3 linked regions of the Sus scrofa genome follow. The protein of the gene in region 2 interacts with the protein of the main gene of each other region in a pairwise test. Links are inferred from orthologs where the notes say so. Each region holds a gene or a part of one and is shown on either strand. Other genes may lie near its edges.

The links. The genes of interacting proteins can lie anywhere in the genome.
Region 1: the proteins of KIF9 (region 2) and ZBTB8A interact in binary tests that used the Homo sapiens proteins (3 or more experiments, as listed by UniProt). The two-hybrid records come from large-scale screens. The link is inferred for Sus scrofa from reciprocal best matches to the Homo sapiens genes KIF9 and ZBTB8A.
Region 3: the proteins of KIF9 (region 2) and PRMT6 interact in a two-hybrid assay, tested with the Homo sapiens proteins (2 studies listed by BioGRID and IntAct). The link is inferred for Sus scrofa from reciprocal best matches to the Homo sapiens genes KIF9 and PRMT6.

The regions. Positions count from the first base shown.
Region 1 is NC_010448.4:88,919,472-88,925,544, forward strand, and holds the start of ZBTB8A (zinc finger and BTB domain-containing protein 8A), read left to right. Parts: upstream 1-2,774; 5' UTR 2,775-3,734; intron 3,735-6,073. UniProt on the Homo sapiens protein: May be involved in transcriptional regulation.
Region 2 is NC_010455.5:30,058,829-30,064,712, reverse strand, and holds the start of KIF9 (kinesin-like protein KIF9), read left to right. Parts: upstream 1-1,841; 5' UTR 1,842-1,879; coding exon of another isoform or gene 1,880-1,977; intron 1,978-2,973; exon of another isoform or gene 2,974-2,976; 5' UTR 2,977-3,032; coding exon 3,033-3,219; intron 3,220-5,884. Other genes in the region: KLHL18 (kelch-like protein 18), read right to left, coding at 1,376-1,504. UniProt on the Homo sapiens protein: Essential for normal male fertility and for progressive motility of spermatozoa.
Region 3 is NC_010446.5:112,707,007-112,713,027, reverse strand, and holds the start of PRMT6 (protein arginine N-methyltransferase 6), read left to right. Parts: upstream 1-2,722; 5' UTR 2,723-6,021. UniProt on the Homo sapiens protein: Arginine methyltransferase that can catalyze the formation of both omega-N monomethylarginine (MMA) and asymmetrical dimethylarginine (aDMA), with a strong preference for the formation of aDMA.

The DNA of each region.
Region 1 (6,073 bases), on a different chromosome or scaffold from region 2:
GCTTTCCATCATCATTACACATTTTCAAAAGTCTTTTACTTATGTCTCCTTCTAGCTAACACCCTCATTCTTTGCCTGTAGCAGCTTTAAAACATGACCTCAAATTCCCTGCCATTCTATTAAGAGAAAACAGCTATATTCCCTTCTGCCTGAATCTTAGTAGGCTTGTGATTAGTTTAACCAATAGAATATGGCAAGCGAGACAATGCAACTTCTGGAGATGGTTATCAATGACCATGCAGTTCCTTCCTATTTCTCTTGGATTATTCCCTCTTGGTATGCTCTCTTGGGGACACTCTTTCAGAATCCAGCCACCATGCAGCGAGAAGCCCAAGTCACATGGAGAGGCCATGTGTAGGACGCCAGATGACAGTCACAGCTGAGCCTAATTTTCAAGTAATCCTGGCCTTGGTGCTGGATCTGTGAGGGAAGAAACCTCCAGATGATTCCAGTTCCCAGCAGCTCAAGTCACCCCCAGTGGTATGAGCCGTCCCAGCTGAGACTCCAGACATTGTGGAGCAGAGAGACAAGCCACCCTTGCGGTGACATGTCAAATTCTTGAGGAGTTCCCGTCATGGTGCAGTGGTTAACGAATCCGACTAGGAACCATGAGGCTGCGGGTTCCGTCCCTGCCCTTGCTCAGTGGGTTAACGATCCGGCTTTGCCGTGAGCTGTGGTGTAGGTCGCAGATGCGGCTTGGATCCCATGTTGCTGTGGCTCTGGCGTAGGCTGGTGGCTACAGCTCCGATTCAACCCCTAGCCTGGGAACCTCCATATGCTGCGGGAGCGGCCCAAAGAAATAGCAAAAAGACAAAAAAAAAAAAAAATTCTTGAGCCATGGACTCCATAAGCATAATAAAATACTCTTTTTTTATTATTTACTTATTTATTTTTGGCCACACCCATAGTATGTGAAAGTTCCCAGGCCGGGGGTCAAACCCACCCCACAGCAGCAACCCAACGCTGGATCCTTAACCCTCTGTGCCACAAGGGAATTCCAATAGTGACAACGCTGGATCCTTAACCCTCTGTGCCACAAGGGAATTCCAATAGTCTTTGATTTATGCCACAAAGTTCAGGTTGATTTATTACACAGCAATGGTAACTAGACTATCACCCTTCCCCACCAGATCTCTCAAGGGTTGTGTATTCTCACCACCTCTATTTCTTTATCCCTATGTAGTCCCCTAATCTGGATTTTGCTCCCTTCTTTCAAGCGTAATAATGTTCTCTGAAGTCAATGATTTCCAAGTTGTTAAATCCAATAGACATTTTCTTTCTTTCTTTTTTTTTTCTTTTTGCCATTTCTTGGGCCGCTCCCTCGGCATATGGAAGTTCCCAGGCTAGGGGTCCAATAGGAGCTGTAGCCGCTGGCCTACGCCAGAGCCACAACAACACAGGATCCGAGCCGCGTCTGCAACCTATACCACAGCTCATGGCAACACTGGATCCTTAACCCACTGAGCGAGGCCAGGGATCGAACCTGCATCCTCATGGATACTAGTTGGGTTTGTTTCTGCTGAGCCACAATGGAAACTCCCCCCCTCCTAGTTTCCATAACACCGCACTATCCCACATCTCTTCCTTCTATCCCAGTCACTTCTTAGATTCTTGCAATTTTACTTTCCTCTAGGAAGCCACTAGATGATGAAGCTGGTGATGCTTGTTCTATGCTTTATTCTTTTCTTATTTTATATTCTCTTTCTCTATCTATATCCATGGTTTTAATTCCTAGCTACATTGATGACAACACTTTACCTCAAATAATTTTATCTATTATGTTCCAGGCCATATGTCCAAATGCCTTTTAACATTTTGTACTATCTAGGGTTCTTAGTGACACAGACTCATTTGCCTTGGCTGATTTAAACAGAAATGAATGTATTAAAAGTTTACAGAATTATGGGAAGAGCAAAGCATAGGGTTTGGTGCCTATGCTAACCAGGTAGAAACAACAGCAAGTCATACCATAGAACTGGCCTGGTAAGGATACCAACACTGCTCTCAGCAGAGACCTGGCAGCTGGCACCACAGATAACCCTAGTGCTGGACAGCGGATACTGCCACTAACAGCACTGCCTCTATGGCACCTGGAGACACTATCTTGCTGCAACAGTCACCACTGCCAGAAAAGATTCTTAGAGGTTCCTGCTTCTTGGTGGTATAGCTCCCTCATCAAAGTCCCCAGTAAGTGCCTCTGATTATTAAAGTGTAGCCCATGACCATTGCCTTAGCCACAAGGGATTCTGGGAAAGCAAGTCACTGGCATTTCCAGATTCTGCTGCAGAAGGCAGATTCTATCTCCCACCAATTATTCATAACATAAGAAGTTCGCCAAACATATAAATTGAGTTTCAGAAGCTAGGAGGGGGAAGTTGAGGGAAAAAACTTCCATTACTTTTTCCTTGCAACAAAGGATGTGCTCTCTTGAGGAACAAGTTTGTAGAACTTTTTTGCATGTTTTAATTAATTAAGGCTAAAATAAAACCCTTTGTGATAACAATGCCCAGGTCTTTGGGGGAGAATTCTCAATGGGGATGCTAGCAGAATAGTTTGGGTACATCCAAATCTCCTGATACCTAGCAGGTTTTCAAACATGTTTTCAATTACCTGTTCAGAATGTGAGAAGGTGCAACTAAATAGCAAAATAACTCAAGTAATACAGAAGTGACATTAAGAGATAGTTGTGAATATTTTGTATCCTTCTAGTAGAGACTATGATCCTCAAATCACATAGCTAACTATTGATGAAACCACAGTAATAAATTCTGTTCAGTATGACTGAGTGTGACAAAAGAGAGAAATCCAACAAAAACTAAATGTTTTAAAATTTTGAGTCTTTTTTTCGGTTTTGCTATATCACAGTATTATTCAATGCCTGACCCCAGCAGAAGGAACTGGAAAACGTAGTTTGTAGAATTAATGTTTGCCTGCTAACTATGAATATTCAGTGATTTATGATGTTAGCAGATATAGAACCTGACGTGTGTACTCTAAACATTAGGGATGTATCATCAATGTTAGTATTTGACAACACAAAACCTCCTATTCTTACTAGTTTTATATTTTCTCTGAACTTGACCAAGGATTATTTTTTCTTATCTCAGCTTCTTGGGTTATCCTCTTCAAAGAAAATTCTTGTGACTTGCAGAGGTTTAGAAAAGATTACCCTTGACTAAAACGAGTTCTTCAAAAAGGGAAAAATTCTGTGCAGATCTCTTCCATTTGACGTTGCTAAACTTAAGTACAATAATGTCACATGCACTTATACAGTAATTGTGGGCACGCCTAAGTCCCTCCCTCTTTCCTAAACCAAATTCCCCAGATCCTAGAAATCCAGCCCTTCTGCCCTCCCGGAGGCGCCTTTCCCAACGTAAAGTACAATTTAAAATTTAAGCTCCTTACTAAATAATGATTCTGTAGTCAAGTGCTAGGGGATCTGGGCACTCCATTGCCTCCGGAGGGTGCAGCAGGGTGTAGGCAAGGGCAGGGGGAGTGGGCGAAGCTGCTGGTTGGTGCCTGAAATCTGTGCGTTGCCCCTTTAATTGTGTCCCCAGCCCTCGGGCGTTTCTGTCCAACGCCCACGTCAGCAAATACCTTTTGTTTCTCTCACGTTGGGGCTACTTGTTTTAGGGCGCAAAGGAACGGCTTCAAAAGGGGGTATTTCCCCTGCCGGGAACCGGGAATCTTCCCCCAGCCCGCGCGCGCGCCCCGCCGGTGCGCCGCGGCCCGCGGTAAGTGGCTGCGCGCGACGCGGGCGAAGGGCGGGCGGGGCGTCGGGGCTGCCCGGGACGGGCCCACGAGCCTAGCTGCGGGCGAAGGCGCCGCGGGCTCTGGTCCCCGGGCGGCAGCGGCGGCGGCGACAGCGGGATGCGGCCCCGGCGCGGCGCCCCCAGACGTTCCCGGTCCAGAGAGCGGCGGGAGGCGCAGAGGCGAGCGGGCGCCATTTGCAGCCCCGGGCACAGCGGCGGTGGCGCGCCGGCTCCGAGGGGCTGGAGACGGTCACAAAGGAGGCGCGGGCAGCCGGCGCCCAGGACCCGGCCTCCGGGCGGCGGCCAGCGGGGGAGAGGCGGGCGGCGGCGGGGCGCACCGGTCCCCGGACTGCGCGGCCGCCTCTCCGGCGCCCATCCAACCGCCCGGCCCGGCCCGCCTGCGCGCCCGGGAGGGGTTGCGGGACAATGGCAGCGCCGTCGCCGCCCGCGCCCGCCCAGCGCCGCGCCCGCCTGGCCGCCCGGCCTGGCCCGGCCGCGGCGCGGGGAAAGGCGGGAAGGCGCGCGGAGCCTCCTGGCGGCGGCGGCGGGAAGGCGGCGCGGGGACCGTGCCGGGCGTGTCTGGAGCCGTCGGGCGGCGCGGACTCCCGGAGGGTCGGCAGCCAGCCGGGCTCGGGCTGCGCGGCGGGTGATGGGTGGCCCGCCGGGTGGGGTGGCCAAGGTCCGGGGCTTCTCTCCTGCAGCTCCGGGCGCTTCCTCGGGTAGGTGGCTGGCTGGGCAGTAGTCCGAGTTTCTGCGTACATCCTCCATCCTTTGGTTTTATATGGTGATGTGACAGATCCGGGCTGAGAAGCCAAGGCAGACTTACTATACCTAACAAATATTGAGCTATAATTATTATTTTATGCCGAACCCACACGTACGCACCTTCTACCTATGCAGACGGCCTCTCTTGTAAGTTAATTAGTGGTTTGGCCCCTTCTCCATCGCATGCGCTTATTTATTGTTGATTGTGCCAGTAGCCAGCCAGTCTCCACATCTTTAAAAGGCGTGGTTTTTTTGTTTTTTTTTTTCTCCCCTTTTTTTCCTTTTAAATTGAGATATGGTAGACAAGTAACATTGTGTTAGTTTTAGTCCAATGAGTGTTTGGAAGCCGCAGATTCTCACCTATTGGGCTTTTAAACTCCACACATCAGTTTTACTTCTATTCTTGATAAATGTTTTTATTTGCAGAACTTTAGTAAATGGAGTGCTTTCGCCTATATGAATTATATCACATAAAACAACTACCCAGTCAGGCTGAGGATTATTTCACTTTCTAGATGAGGAAACACATTAAGCATTTAAGCTTTAAGCCAGGAGGTGAGAGGTGGCAGCCTTCCAATGCCCTTGCCTCCTGCTCTAGCTCTTCATTTCCTCCTAAAGTCACCTCCAGAGCTTTCCAGTAAGCAACTCATATTGCTTCCCTGCTCTGAAAACGTTAACTGATTTGTATCAGAAGCAAATCTAAAATCCTCAGCAGAAGAACCCCAGCTCAATCTTCCTTTCTGTAACCTTCCCCAAGCCCTGGGTATGGCTGGGTTTGTGAGGCCCCTGGAGCAAGAGCCCTTTGCTATAACCAGAGATCAGATGTCTTTATTCCCAGGAGCCCCCTGACCACACAAGATGTTAATGGGAAGTGAGGATCCAACCTGCCGGTCTTGGCTAAACGGACATGGCTCTAAAATGTTAGTAGGAGGCATCGTCTTGACCTTTTCCACATCATGTAAATTTCCGACCCGGTAAAGAAGGCACTCTGCTAGACCTTTTCTCAGGGCCTTGAAATTACCAGCTTTGCTGTTGATAGTGATTTGAGCCCAGGAAAAACTTTGTAAGATAGGGCAATACTTGTTTCCTCCTATATCATTTAAATCTTATTTTCTAGATCAAATGGAATTTCTGTCTAATAGGTTCAACCCTTTCAGTGACCTAACTACATGTTTATCAGATTTAAAAGATTTGGTGCAAGTTTTTTCATCCCCTTGAGGGAAGTCTTTGTCACCTCTTTGCTCAGAATTGGTCAGTGGCTCCCCATCTTCAGTGGCTCCCCATTTTACTCAGACCAAAAGTCGGAGGCCCCTAAATAGTCTGTAAGGCCTTGTAGAAACTGGTCCCATGATGTCCTACCTGCCCCAGCCCTCCTTAATGTTCCTCCAGTCTTCTTTGCCTGCTTCACCTCAGAGCCTTTGCACTTGCTGTTACATCTGCCTGGAACACCCTTCCCCCAGATGCCTGACTGACTCTTTGTCCTCCTTTGGACCCTTTTTTTTTTTTTTTTTCTTTTCTTTGGCCCCAGCCTGCAGCTTGATGTGGGATCTCAGTTC
Region 2 (5,884 bases):
GCCGAGTGTGCAGCCCTAGAAAAGCCACCCCCCCAAAAAAAAGTCTAGCAGCCTTGATTCACCACTACCATGTCATCACCATGGACAAAAATCTCTCATTTACATTTACTTCCTCTGCCTCCTTTCGTCCAGCTCATTCTTCTCAAATCCCTTGGTTCCCCACCAAAGATGCTTTCCCCTCTCCATCTATTTCATTCCTCTCCTGGAATACTAATCTTAGGATGGGTTTAGGGATGAAAACCTTAGGCCAGGCATTTTGCAAAGAATACCACAAATTTCCTCATTTAATCCTCATACAAATACTAAGATTTAGGAATTATCCCTATTTTTCCATGTGGAAAACTGATGTTAAATAACTTGCCCAAGGTTACAACTAGCATTTTAATCCAAACCCTTCTATTTCAAAAGCCGCACTCTTAACCATTGTACTCTATTGTCTCCAGAGTCTGACTCAAATATGTGGGAAAAAAGTTTCCTTAACTTTGTAGACAATAAGAAGAAAAAAGATCTCTGAATAACTTTGTTTTTTAAACAGGGTCTTCGCAGATGCTGACAGCCTTCTAGCCAAAGCTCAAAAGGGAACATCACCTGCAGCAGAATCTCTCCACCTGGAGGGCTCCTCAGGGCTCAGCAGCTTGGCCAAGGAGCAGCACAGCAAGCATCTCCAGCAAGAATGGATGCAAGGCACAGGAGGAAGGCTGGATCTTGGGCACAGAGTGCCAATAGGGAACAGGTGATTAAGAGATCCCCGTCCCCATGAAGCCCATCAGTTCATTCTGAGACCTTCGTGGTGGTGGTGGTGGTAGTGTGCCTTTTAGTGCGGAACAGAGTAGCTGCCCACCTCAAAAGATTCCCAGATCCGATTTTAAAAGCTTTTAAGAGACAAGGTAGTCACCTAACAATCAAGGGCAAGCAATGACTCCTATGAAAAAGCCTACACATCTACGACAGCGCAGCTAACTTCGAGGGGGCACCAAGAAACGTCTATGGTGGTAAGAAAAGTGCTCCCGTGATGCCTACTAGAATGTAGAGACGGCCACGGCCCCCTCCTCCATAGAGGAGCTGCAAATCCATTTTCCCTTGGTCTGTGTGACAGAAAAGGGAGGCGGCACCCCAATGTCTTCACTCCGAGGGCCTCAGCGACGCACCTCTCGAGCCCTTTCCTTCTAAGGAGTAAGAGGCGTCCCTGTCCGTCGCCCCGCTTAGCCCCAGTCCCCCTCTAGAATTCGGCAATTCTCTCTCCCCTACTCGCTCTCCCTCCAACCTCCTTTCCCCACCCCTCAGCGTGCTAGACCTCTCCTCCCCTATTCCTCGCCTCTCTTCCCTCCCCATTTGGTCCCTTGGCCCCGACTGTCGAACCGCCTGGCCCTGGTACCTTGAGCGTCACGTCGCACAGCTTGCCCTGCCGTCGAATCTCCTCCATGACGCCGTAGCCGCGACTAGGCAACTCGGACACAGAGAAGTGCACCAGGTCCTCCAGCTCCTCAGCGCCGTCCTCCACCATCTTCCTCTGCCGCCGCGACTGCGCAGGCCCAGCCTGCCGCCCCGAAACTAAGCAGGGCGGGGCGAGAGAGCGTGCGGCCGGCAGCTCGGAGCTCCGGGCTGGAGTAGGAAGGGCCTGCGCGGCCGCCGTAGTCTCAGACTACTTTGTGCCGGAAGCCCAACCGCCCCGCTTCCTAGTTCTTGCGCATCCTTTGTTTCCTCGTTACCGCGACCCTCGCTTCGCGCCTGCAGCTGCCGCAGTCTTTCTTGATTAATCCGTCCCATCTCCCGTCCTTCTTACTCAGCCCTGACCTTACTCATATCTCAACAGAGGACAGAGAACTTCATTTCCGCCACTACCCCGTGCTTCCTGAATCGCCGGAAGCGGCAGGTTGCCATGGCGACTGTGTACACAGCCTGGCAGAGGCTCAAGCCGGGATTCCTTCGCTGCTCCTGCTGCGGTCGTGCTGTGGGAGGGCTCCTACCGCCGAAGAGGTAATCAGGCATCATGCTTCGCCGGGGTTGGGAGGAGGGAAGCCGGAAAGCAGGTGTTGGCTCTGGCGGCGGGCAGTCGCTGGAATTTGAACAGCGCTCCACCTGGGAATTCTCCACTTTGGCTCAGTAACCTGTGAAACCTGGGCGGAGGAGGGCGAAGCGTCGCGGGGACCCTTTTAGCCTGGCTGCCGCTAAGGGTGTTCGAATCTAACGTTCCCTGGCCCCACGAGGGCCCTGCGTCGCGTCTGAGGTTTAGAGACCTCTAGTCTTCTGGACCCTTATGTGTTCGTAGAATTTCTAGTTGGAGTGGGCTTTGGGATTGCCAGTCCCAGCTGTTCGCTTTACAGATGTAGAAACCTCTCCAGAGAGGGATAGAGATGGTCTCCAAACCCACTGCCGAATGCCACACAAGGGTCCAGCATGTTGGGTCAGGAAAAGGAGAAAGGCTAGTTCTACTTGAGTTCCAGTCTTTTGTTTAGTCCAAGGCTAGGTGCGTTTGGGCTCTGGGAGGCTCTGATGCTGCTGCCTCTCTAGTGGCTCTGAGAGTTCTGATGGCCGCTCAGAGGTTCACTTTTTTTTTTTTTAATGGCCGCACCCATGGCATTCGGAAATTCCTGGGCCAGGGTTTGAATCTAAGTCACAGCTTCGACCTGCAGATCCTTTAACCCACTGCCCCAGACTGGGTATCAAACCCGCACTTTAGCAGGGACCTGAGCTACTGCAGTCGAATTCTTAAGCTACTGTGCCACAGCAGGACCTCCATAGGTTCACTTATTTACACCAGAAATAACTAAATGTGGTGTCCTTGAGGAAGAAGCATTTCCTACAAGGTCCTGGGGGAGAATGACCCTACTAAAAGGGAAAAGTGTTGAGGGGCTGGAGTTGGCTTCTTGCAGGTGGTGCCTGGAAACCCATTGTCTGCCTGGAAGTGTTGTGATGTTAGGGGTGGAGGCAGTATGGGAAAGGAGTGACATTATTTGCTCTTTGGGACTCTCTCAGTAGTGACCGAAGATGGACCCACATATGGAAATTCAGCCATCCTCTGACTTCCAGCCATGACCATCACCACCAATCACCATTTCTTAAGCACCTGCTCTGTGCTGAGCACTGTTCTGAACTTTGAGGGGGGATTCAAAAGAGATAGAAGGCACAGTCCTGTCCCTCAAGCAGCTTGTAATTTAATCTGGGAGCTGAAACCCACTCAAATGATGCGGCGTAAGAACGGTAACAAGCATTATTTCAGTAAGTGCACAATGGCATGGGGTCCTCAAATGTCTGGGTGTTGAGGGGCTGCTAGATAGCAGACTCACAGGAAGGAGCCAGTTAATAGAGAAAGCTGGTCTCAAGTGGATATGGGTCCTGGTGTGCCTGGAGCCATGGGTGTAAGCATGGGAAGTGCCTTGGGAAGCATAGATATGATGACTGCATGTGCATGTGGGCAAACTGCTGGGCAGAAAAGGGGCAGGCTCTGAGGGGAGGGAAATGCTTGGAGGTGGCTTCATGCTGCCCTTGGGCTGTCATTGGGGAGTGGTTTCCAGGAGGGGGGCTTGGGCATCTGCCCCCAGAGCTGTCCTGTTTCTTCATGGTCCCTTGCAGAGGGCACCTTGGACAGTATCTTAACTTCCTTGGGCTGGAGGATGGTTCTCCAGACGGGTATGGAGAATGCTTCCCAGAGCTTTAGATTTCGAAGGTCATTGTTTGCTTGAGTCAACACACCTCCCTCCACTCTCCACTTCCCAATAGCCTAGATCAAAGTGAACTTGGAAATGAGATATTCTCTTTAGTTTCCTCAATTTGGGAGTCATGTTAGAGCTATTTGTGGCTTTTCATTTCAAGAGCTCAATTTTGCAAACGAAGATTTTGGAACTGAAATTGGACAAGCTGTTATCCTTAGGTACCTTTTAGATTCATTTTCTAAGAATTAAAAGATCTGAAAGATCTCACAGTGACCAGGAAAAGACTTCCATGAAGTAATTAGTTGAGGAATGTTGGAAGTGACACATGCTCTACAGTAGGCAAATGTGAAAATAACGTTTGCTTATTTGAAGTGACAGTTGAAGGGTTTGTAATAGGGTTAGAATTTTTTATTTTGTCTGCTTCATTAAAACTGTAAACTGAAAGGGCAGGACCTATTTAACTTGCTTCTGTAGAGATATTTAATGCCACTTGATATAGTTAAGATAATGGTAAGAGGAAATCAAGTGTTCACCACATTTGACTGTGTTGTGTCTGAAATGTGAAGGGATATTAATACTTTAAAAATCTGGAATCGGGAGTTCCCATCGTGGCGCAGTGGTTAACGAATCCGACTAGGAACCACAAGGTTGCGGGTTCAGTCCCTGACCTTGCTCAGTGGGTTAAGGATCCGGCGTTGCCGTGAGCTGTGGTGTAGGTTGCAGACGCGGCTCGGATCCCGCGTTGCTGTGGCTCTGGCGCAGGCTGGTGGCTACAGCTCCGATTCGACCCCTAGCCTGGGAACCTCCATATGCCGCGGGAGCGGCCCAAGAAATAGCAACAACAACAACAACAACAACAAAAAAAAGACAAAAAGACAAAAAAAAAAAAAAATCTGGAATCGTTTCTATCAGGTAACACTCACTTAACCTCTCTCAGATAATACATATAAAATGTTAATAGTCTTTATTTAATATATGCTCCCCCCACCCTTTGGCCACCACACACAGCATGTGAAGTTTCCAAGATCTACTCTGTAGTGGCAACCTATACCAAAGCTCATGGCAACACCAGATCCTTAACCCACTGAGCAAGGCCAAGGATCCAGCCTGCGTCCTCATGGATACTAGTTGGATTCTTAACCTTCTGAGCCACAATGGGAACTCCCCTAATATATGCTTTTTTAAAAGTAAAATAATTCTAGTTAAAAGAAGAAATCTCTGTTGAACAGGACTTTTTTTTTAACAGTCAAGTTCTTGAAAATTACCTTTTTAAAAATATTGAACAGCTCATCAGTTCATTTGTAAGCATGCATTGCAATTGTGTAAGCAAGTTATTTTTTGCTCAATAACCATGTTGATATCCCTTTTTCCAGTTTGGAGGGGAAACTGAGTCGGCTCCATATGCCTCATATTTCCCTAATTTTACATAAATTCAGCAGCTCCTATGCTGGTTGTCTTTTTCAAATGTGTCCAGGAGTTTCCTTTAGCCTCAACTCCTCTATCCTGCCTCATGACAATAAAGGTTATTTTAGGGGCAGAAGCCTCATTTCTTAATGAACTGGGCCATCCCAGCCAGGAACATCAAAAGAGAACTGGATGATGCAGCACACATCCTGACCCTTGGGCCTCATCTCTGTTCAAAGCTAGTTTTGTACATTCTGGAAATTAACTCAGTTATTAGCATTCTTTATATTCTTGGTCTCATAAAAGTGAAATTATTGAAATCTGAGAGCCCAGTTTTAGGATTATATAACCACAAACTATTTGATGCTCTTGTTGAAATTATTTTTTAGAAGGAAAAAAGAGGGAAAAATATTAGAATGATCTTAGAAAAATGTATATGTAAAATTAGAAACGTTTCAATCTTGGAACAATTTAAAATTGCATTACATTAAGATGCCCATTAGTGTTGAAGTAAGTTATTTGGTATATATTCACAGGCCTTCATCTTGCTTTCTAGTATTACTTAACTAGATTTAACACAGTTATTGATGATAACAGATTTTTAGCTTTCCTTAGAACTCTTGACATTTTCTCTCAATACTTAATCCTTTGTGATTGGTATATAATAGGCACCTAAAAAGCTAATTAAGTTTTAAGTTCCTCTTAGAGCAATAAAAATCAGTGCATTTATTATGTCTATTTAATAATCCTCCTTGCTTCTCCACTCTATCACTGTCTGAACCGAATTTACTCTGTAATAGTATTAAATATGTTTACACAGACATTCT
Region 3 (6,021 bases), on a different chromosome or scaffold from region 2:
CCTCTTTTCAAGACTTAATTACGTCCAGGCCATCCAGTTTTGGAGGATAGCATTTCTCATTAGAGATGTTCCAATGTTCAGTAAAGACAGACTTGGCCAGCTATCATTTAAGGCTTGCTGAGTGAGTTCAGCAAGGGCGCCTACGTGTGCCGTAACGTCCTCCAGGCAAAGGAAGGGAACAGAGATGGCAGCACATGACCGTGCAGGTAGAAAATAGAATGTGCCCCTCTGGCCTTGAGGAGAGGGAGGTTGACTGTATTTGTTGCCTTGGGGTAGATTCTCCCCCACGCCCAGGGAAGACCTAGATAAAGCACAATAGCCCAACCACCCAGGTGGAAGCCGTGGCCAAAGATTTGGGCAACACAACCACCAGGTTCCATTCGGGCTACTCAATAAACATCTGGTTGTGCCCGTCACTATCCTTTCATGTGACGCAATGATTACACAGCTCTGGTGATATCCACCCCATATTCCTGGTTCAGCTGGGTTGGTTCTATTTAGAGTGATTTGTCTGTCTCCAACACAGGAGTGCTGGGTGTTCAAACATCCCTAACTCAGGGCGAGTTATATGAACCCACCCCAAATCTGAGTGTAGCCATTCATGGTTCTAGTGGTGGTATTTTTAGGATGCTTTTGGTCAGCAGTTTGATGGGCTACTTGTGTGGTTTGAGTGATAGAAAAAGAGTACCCCTGCAGTGTTACTGATACTCATGCAACAGGCCAGGTCTCTGGATCAAGTATTGGTAAGGCCAGATGAATTAAGAGTACTAGTCCTAGCTTGTTCTACCTTAATGTACTGCTTCAGGGCCTTCCAATTCCCTCCCTGGAGTGGTGATACCCACCGCCACAATCCTGATGAGCTAGAGAGGGCAGCTTCCCACAATATCCCAAAATTGGATTAATTCCTTTGTTGGGCATATAAGTGCTCCTGTTGTAAAAAAGTATTTCCATGAAGTGTCCATCCTGTAACCAGACAACAGAGGAGCAGCAGAAGCCTAAGGACAAAAAGACAGGTTTTTAATAGACTTGTATGGGAAGGTCTTCTCCTTCTAACAGTTGCACCTGTGCCCTGATCCTTAGATGTTAATGGGGCTGCAGCTTTAGGAATTTGACCTAGTTATGCATAGCATACATGTTGGCCAGGGGAGGCAGCCCTGTCAGGCATGAAGAGATGGGCTGGGAGTATTCCCTGGGCGTGGGGGAGAATCTACCCCAAGGCAACAAATACTGGGATACCAATATCCACCTCATATATTTTGAAAATTAGAGATTATTCCTTAAAATATAAATTCCACAAAATCAGGGATTTTTGTCTGTCTTGTTTACTCTTACACTTATTTATTTATTTATTTATTTATTTTCTTAATGGCTGAACCTGTGGTATATGAAAGTTCACAGGCCAGGAATCAAACCTGAGCTGCAGCTGCAACTTTTGCCATGGCAGCAGCAATGCTGGATCCTTAACCCACTGCATGGAGCCAATATCAAACTCATGCCTCAGCAGTGACCCCAGCTGCCACAAAGACATCACTGGATCCTTAACCCACTGTGCCATAGAGGGAACTATGGAACTCCACACCTATACTTTTTGATTAGGTGTTTGGTAAGTATTTGCTCAAGGAATGAACAATGCATACAAAACATCTAGACAATTGGAGTTCCCATTGTGGCTCACTGGTTAGAGAACCTGACTAGCATCCATGAGGATTTGGGTTCCATCCCTGGCCTTGAGCAGCAGGTTAAGGATCCAGTACGCTGTGGTGTAGGTCGCAGACTACACCGCCCAGATCCCACGTTGCTGTGGCTCTGGCAGTAGGCCGGCTGCAACAGCTCCAATTGGACCCCTAGCCTGGGAACCTCCATGTGCCATGGGTGCGGCTCTAAAAAGACAAAAGAGACCAAAAAAAAAGAAAAAAATTTTAGGCAATGCCTCATACATGGTAAACATAAATGGCTTAGCTACTATGAAGGCATTTAATATGTAATATGATAATAAAGATAAATTATTGATATGAAGTAGAAAATAATGAATCGAAATAACTACCAAAAACCAAACTATGAAATTCCTGGTAGGAATGATTATTTCTACCTCAAAGGACCTGTACAACAACAGAAACCTGGTTAAACAAATTATGGTATATTCATGCAATGGAATACTATAAAAAAAGTCAAGGAAAATAAAAGAAATGCTGCTACACATGATCACATGGGCGAATCTCATAACCATAATGGTGAGCAAAAGAAATTAGACCCAAGGGAGCATATACTGTATGATTTAGGTGAATATGACATTCAAAAACTAGGTCACTGAATGTTGAATGTTTTATGGCACTGAATGTTGAATGGTTTATTAGGATACTTGCTTTGGGAAAGAGGACAAGTGCAGGTTTGGAGGGACACAGGGACAATCACAGACCGGGTAATGTTTTAATGTCTTGAGCCAGGTAGTGGTTTTATAATGATCATTCATTCTGTATGTATATTTGTATTAGTCAGCCTTGTTTCTGCTATAAAATAACAAGTAACACCAGCATCTCACTGGCTCACAACAACAAAAGGTTTTTGTTTCTTGCTTCCATTCCATGAAATCTATGGTCTACTGGGTTTATTTAGGCTTAGCTTAGCTTGGTTTCATTCCAGAAGTCTTCTCTTCTTAGACCCAGACTAAAAAACTGGCCACTATGTGGGGTATTTTTTTTTTTTCTTTTTTCACATGGCAGAGTTCAGAAACTCAAGGGTGATTACGGCAAGCTGTGCTATATTAAGATCTTTGGCTCAGATAAGAGTATACAGATTGCTCAAAACTTTGTTTCTGATCTTATTGTTCTGGTCATCTCCTCATGCCATAAGCCATGCTCAGAGTTCCCAAGACATAGACTATTTGAAGATTTTTTTTATTTCGCAATATTTATCAAGCTTCAGTGGGAATAAACCCTTGGTCTCTTTATTCAGAGAGCTATATTCTTCAGCTGAAAGCATTATTTTACAGATGTAATTGAAATCCCAAGTCAGTTGATTTTGAATCAGTCAAAACAGAGATTATCCGGGGGAGGTAAGGATATTATTTGGAATAGGACCCTCCCTAAGATAAGAAAGCTTCTTCTTTTGGCCTTGAAGAAGTAAGCTGTATGTCTTCAGAGAGCGTGGGAAACAACCATGTGGCAAGGAACTGCCAGCAGCCTCGCGGATCTGAAATAGCTCCAAGTGACCATCAGGAAAGGAGGGAAACCTCACTCCTACAACTGCAAGGAACTGCAATCACATGCTTGGAAGATCCAGAAAGGAATGTAGCCAGGCTGACACTGTGATTGCAGCCTGGCAGAGGACCCAGTGAAGCAGTGCCTGAACTCCTGACCCACAGACACTATGAGATGTACCAAAAAAAAAAAAAGTCCCATCATGACTCAGGGGAAAGGAATATGATTAGCATCCATGAGGACACAGGTTCCATCCCTGACCTCACTCAGTGGGTTAAGGACCTGGTGTTGCCATGAGCTGTGGTGTAGGTCACAGATGAGGCTTGGATCTGGTGTTGCTATGGTTGTGGCATAGGCTGGCAGCTACAGCTCAGATTCAACCCCTAGCCTGGGAATCTCCACATGCCACAAGTGGGGCTTTGAAAAAAAAATTAATAATAAGGTTGCTTTTTAAGCTGATAGATTTGTAGTGACTTGTTCTACGGCAATAGAAAAAAATAATAGACCTTGCATTCCATAATTTTTGCATGGCCTCACACGGGCCCTGTTAGTCTTCAGATCGTCTAGTGCAGTGGTTCTCAAATTTCAGTGTTCCTTGAAATCAACTAAAGGACTGTTAGAACAAAGACTGCGGAACCCCAACCTTAGAGATTCTTTTATTTATTTATTTACTTAAATTTTTTACAGTCGCACCTATGGCATATGGAAATTTCCGGGCTAGGGTAAAATTGGAGCTACAGAGGCTGTGCTTGGTAACACCAGATCCAAGCCGCATCTGCGACCTATGCTTATGGCAATACAAGATGAGTAACCCACTGAGCTAGGCCAGGGATGGAACCCATATCCTCACTATGTTGGGTTCTTAACCCACTGAGCCACAACGGGAACTCCAGAAATTCTAATTCAGTAGTTACAGAGTGAGGTCCACAATTGTGTGACTCTAACAACATCCGAGGTGACGCCAGCACTTTTGGTCTAGAAACCCTGCTTGGAGCATCCCAGGCCTCCCATGACTATGCTACTTCTATGCACTTTGCATGTCCTGAGTAGCAAAATAACATGAGAACATAAGCATCTGGTTGAAGCAAATGGTTGGCTTCCTTTCATATTAGAGGAATTTGTAAAAGAAAAAGAGAGAGGAAGATCTTACTAAATAATGTTCATTAACCTTAACGCCTGATTTTCGTTAAAGTGTCTGATACTTATTACTCCTGGGGCAGGTGAGCAAATGCTTATTTCCAGAGATGCACTAATACATTACTTTTCTCATATGATAATTTACATTCCTGTTTCTCTGTAGTAATTTCAAGAGTGGGCTGATTCATAGCCGAAATTGTTAGAATGCCATAAACCAATATTTACACTTGAAATTGTTAAAAGGCCATATTCGATACACTAAGAGGGCTCAATAAATTTAAAGTGAACTGCTAATTATGGATTAAGTTCATAATATCCCTGTTGTCACTACCTAAACAATTTAATACACACATTTTTTAAAAGAATTACAACTACTCATAATAATATCATCAGGGAGCCCCGAATGTGCTATTCATCTGTTCTAGTATTAAGTTTCATAGCTGGACCAATACACCATGGATCTAAAAGACACTATACACATCAAGAAACATAGACTTTTTACGTTTGATGTTCCAACTTGTTTAAATGTAAAAATCACCACCTTTTGTCTTCATTTTCTATAAAGGACTTTTTTCTTTCTTTTTTTATTTTGACAGAAGTTCCTCTTTCTATGCTAGCAGCTTCCAGGTAACTGTGGCATGGGAAGAACTACATCATTTAATGATCAGTCATAACAGAGAGATATTTATAACATTTTTCATGTCATTGCTCCTGTGCCCTTCCCAACACACACTCTGAGAATTGTAATTAATTCTTGAAATCCTAAAGGAACTACCTTCAATTCTTATACTGGGCTTTAAAATACATTTTTAAACAACAGACCTCCAAATTAAAGAGGAAAAGATATTAGAAATAAGTATCTGTGGGAAGAAATCACATAGAATCCAAGATAAAATAATACAGGAAAGAAAGTTGAGAGTTAAAAGTGGTATTATTGGAGTTCCTATGACAGCTCAGTGGTAACAAAACCGACCAGGATCCATGAGGATGCAGGTTCGATCCCTGGCCTTGCTCATTGGGTTAAACATCCAATGTTGCCATGAGCTGCAGTGTAGGTCGCAGATGCGGCTTGGATCCCTAGTTGCTGTGGCTGTGGTGCAGGCCTACACAGCTCCAATTCGACCCCTCACCTGGAAGTTCCATATGGCCTGGGTGCGGCCATTAAAAAGAAAAAAAAAAAAAAGTGGCATAATAATGTAGCACCCATGCCATATGGAAGTTCCCAGGCCAGGGATCTAATCCAAGCCACAGCCGTGACCTAAACCATAGTTGTGGTAATGCTGGATCCTTAACCAGCTGTGCCACAGCAGGAACTCCATATTATACAATTTTAATACATATTTGCTTATACATATTTGTATTCTACTATTTGCTTAAGTAAGAAAGAAAGAAAAATAGATACTATAACATTAACACAAAAGTATAAGCTCCTTGGAGTAAGGATTTTTGTCTTTGTTTATTGACTGATCCTCTGTTTCTCAAATACTTAGTGTAGAGTAGAAGTCCAGAATGTTTGTTGAATGAATGAATGGTTGGATAAGTGCATGAATGTGTGTGATGCAAAAACTAACCATGGTTCTTCCAGTCATGCAAAACACATATGTTATCCTGTGTGTATTCAAGCCTGCCAATCTGGAATATGGAAATGGTTCAGATTCTAGCACAATGTGCTAAAATCTCAATATTA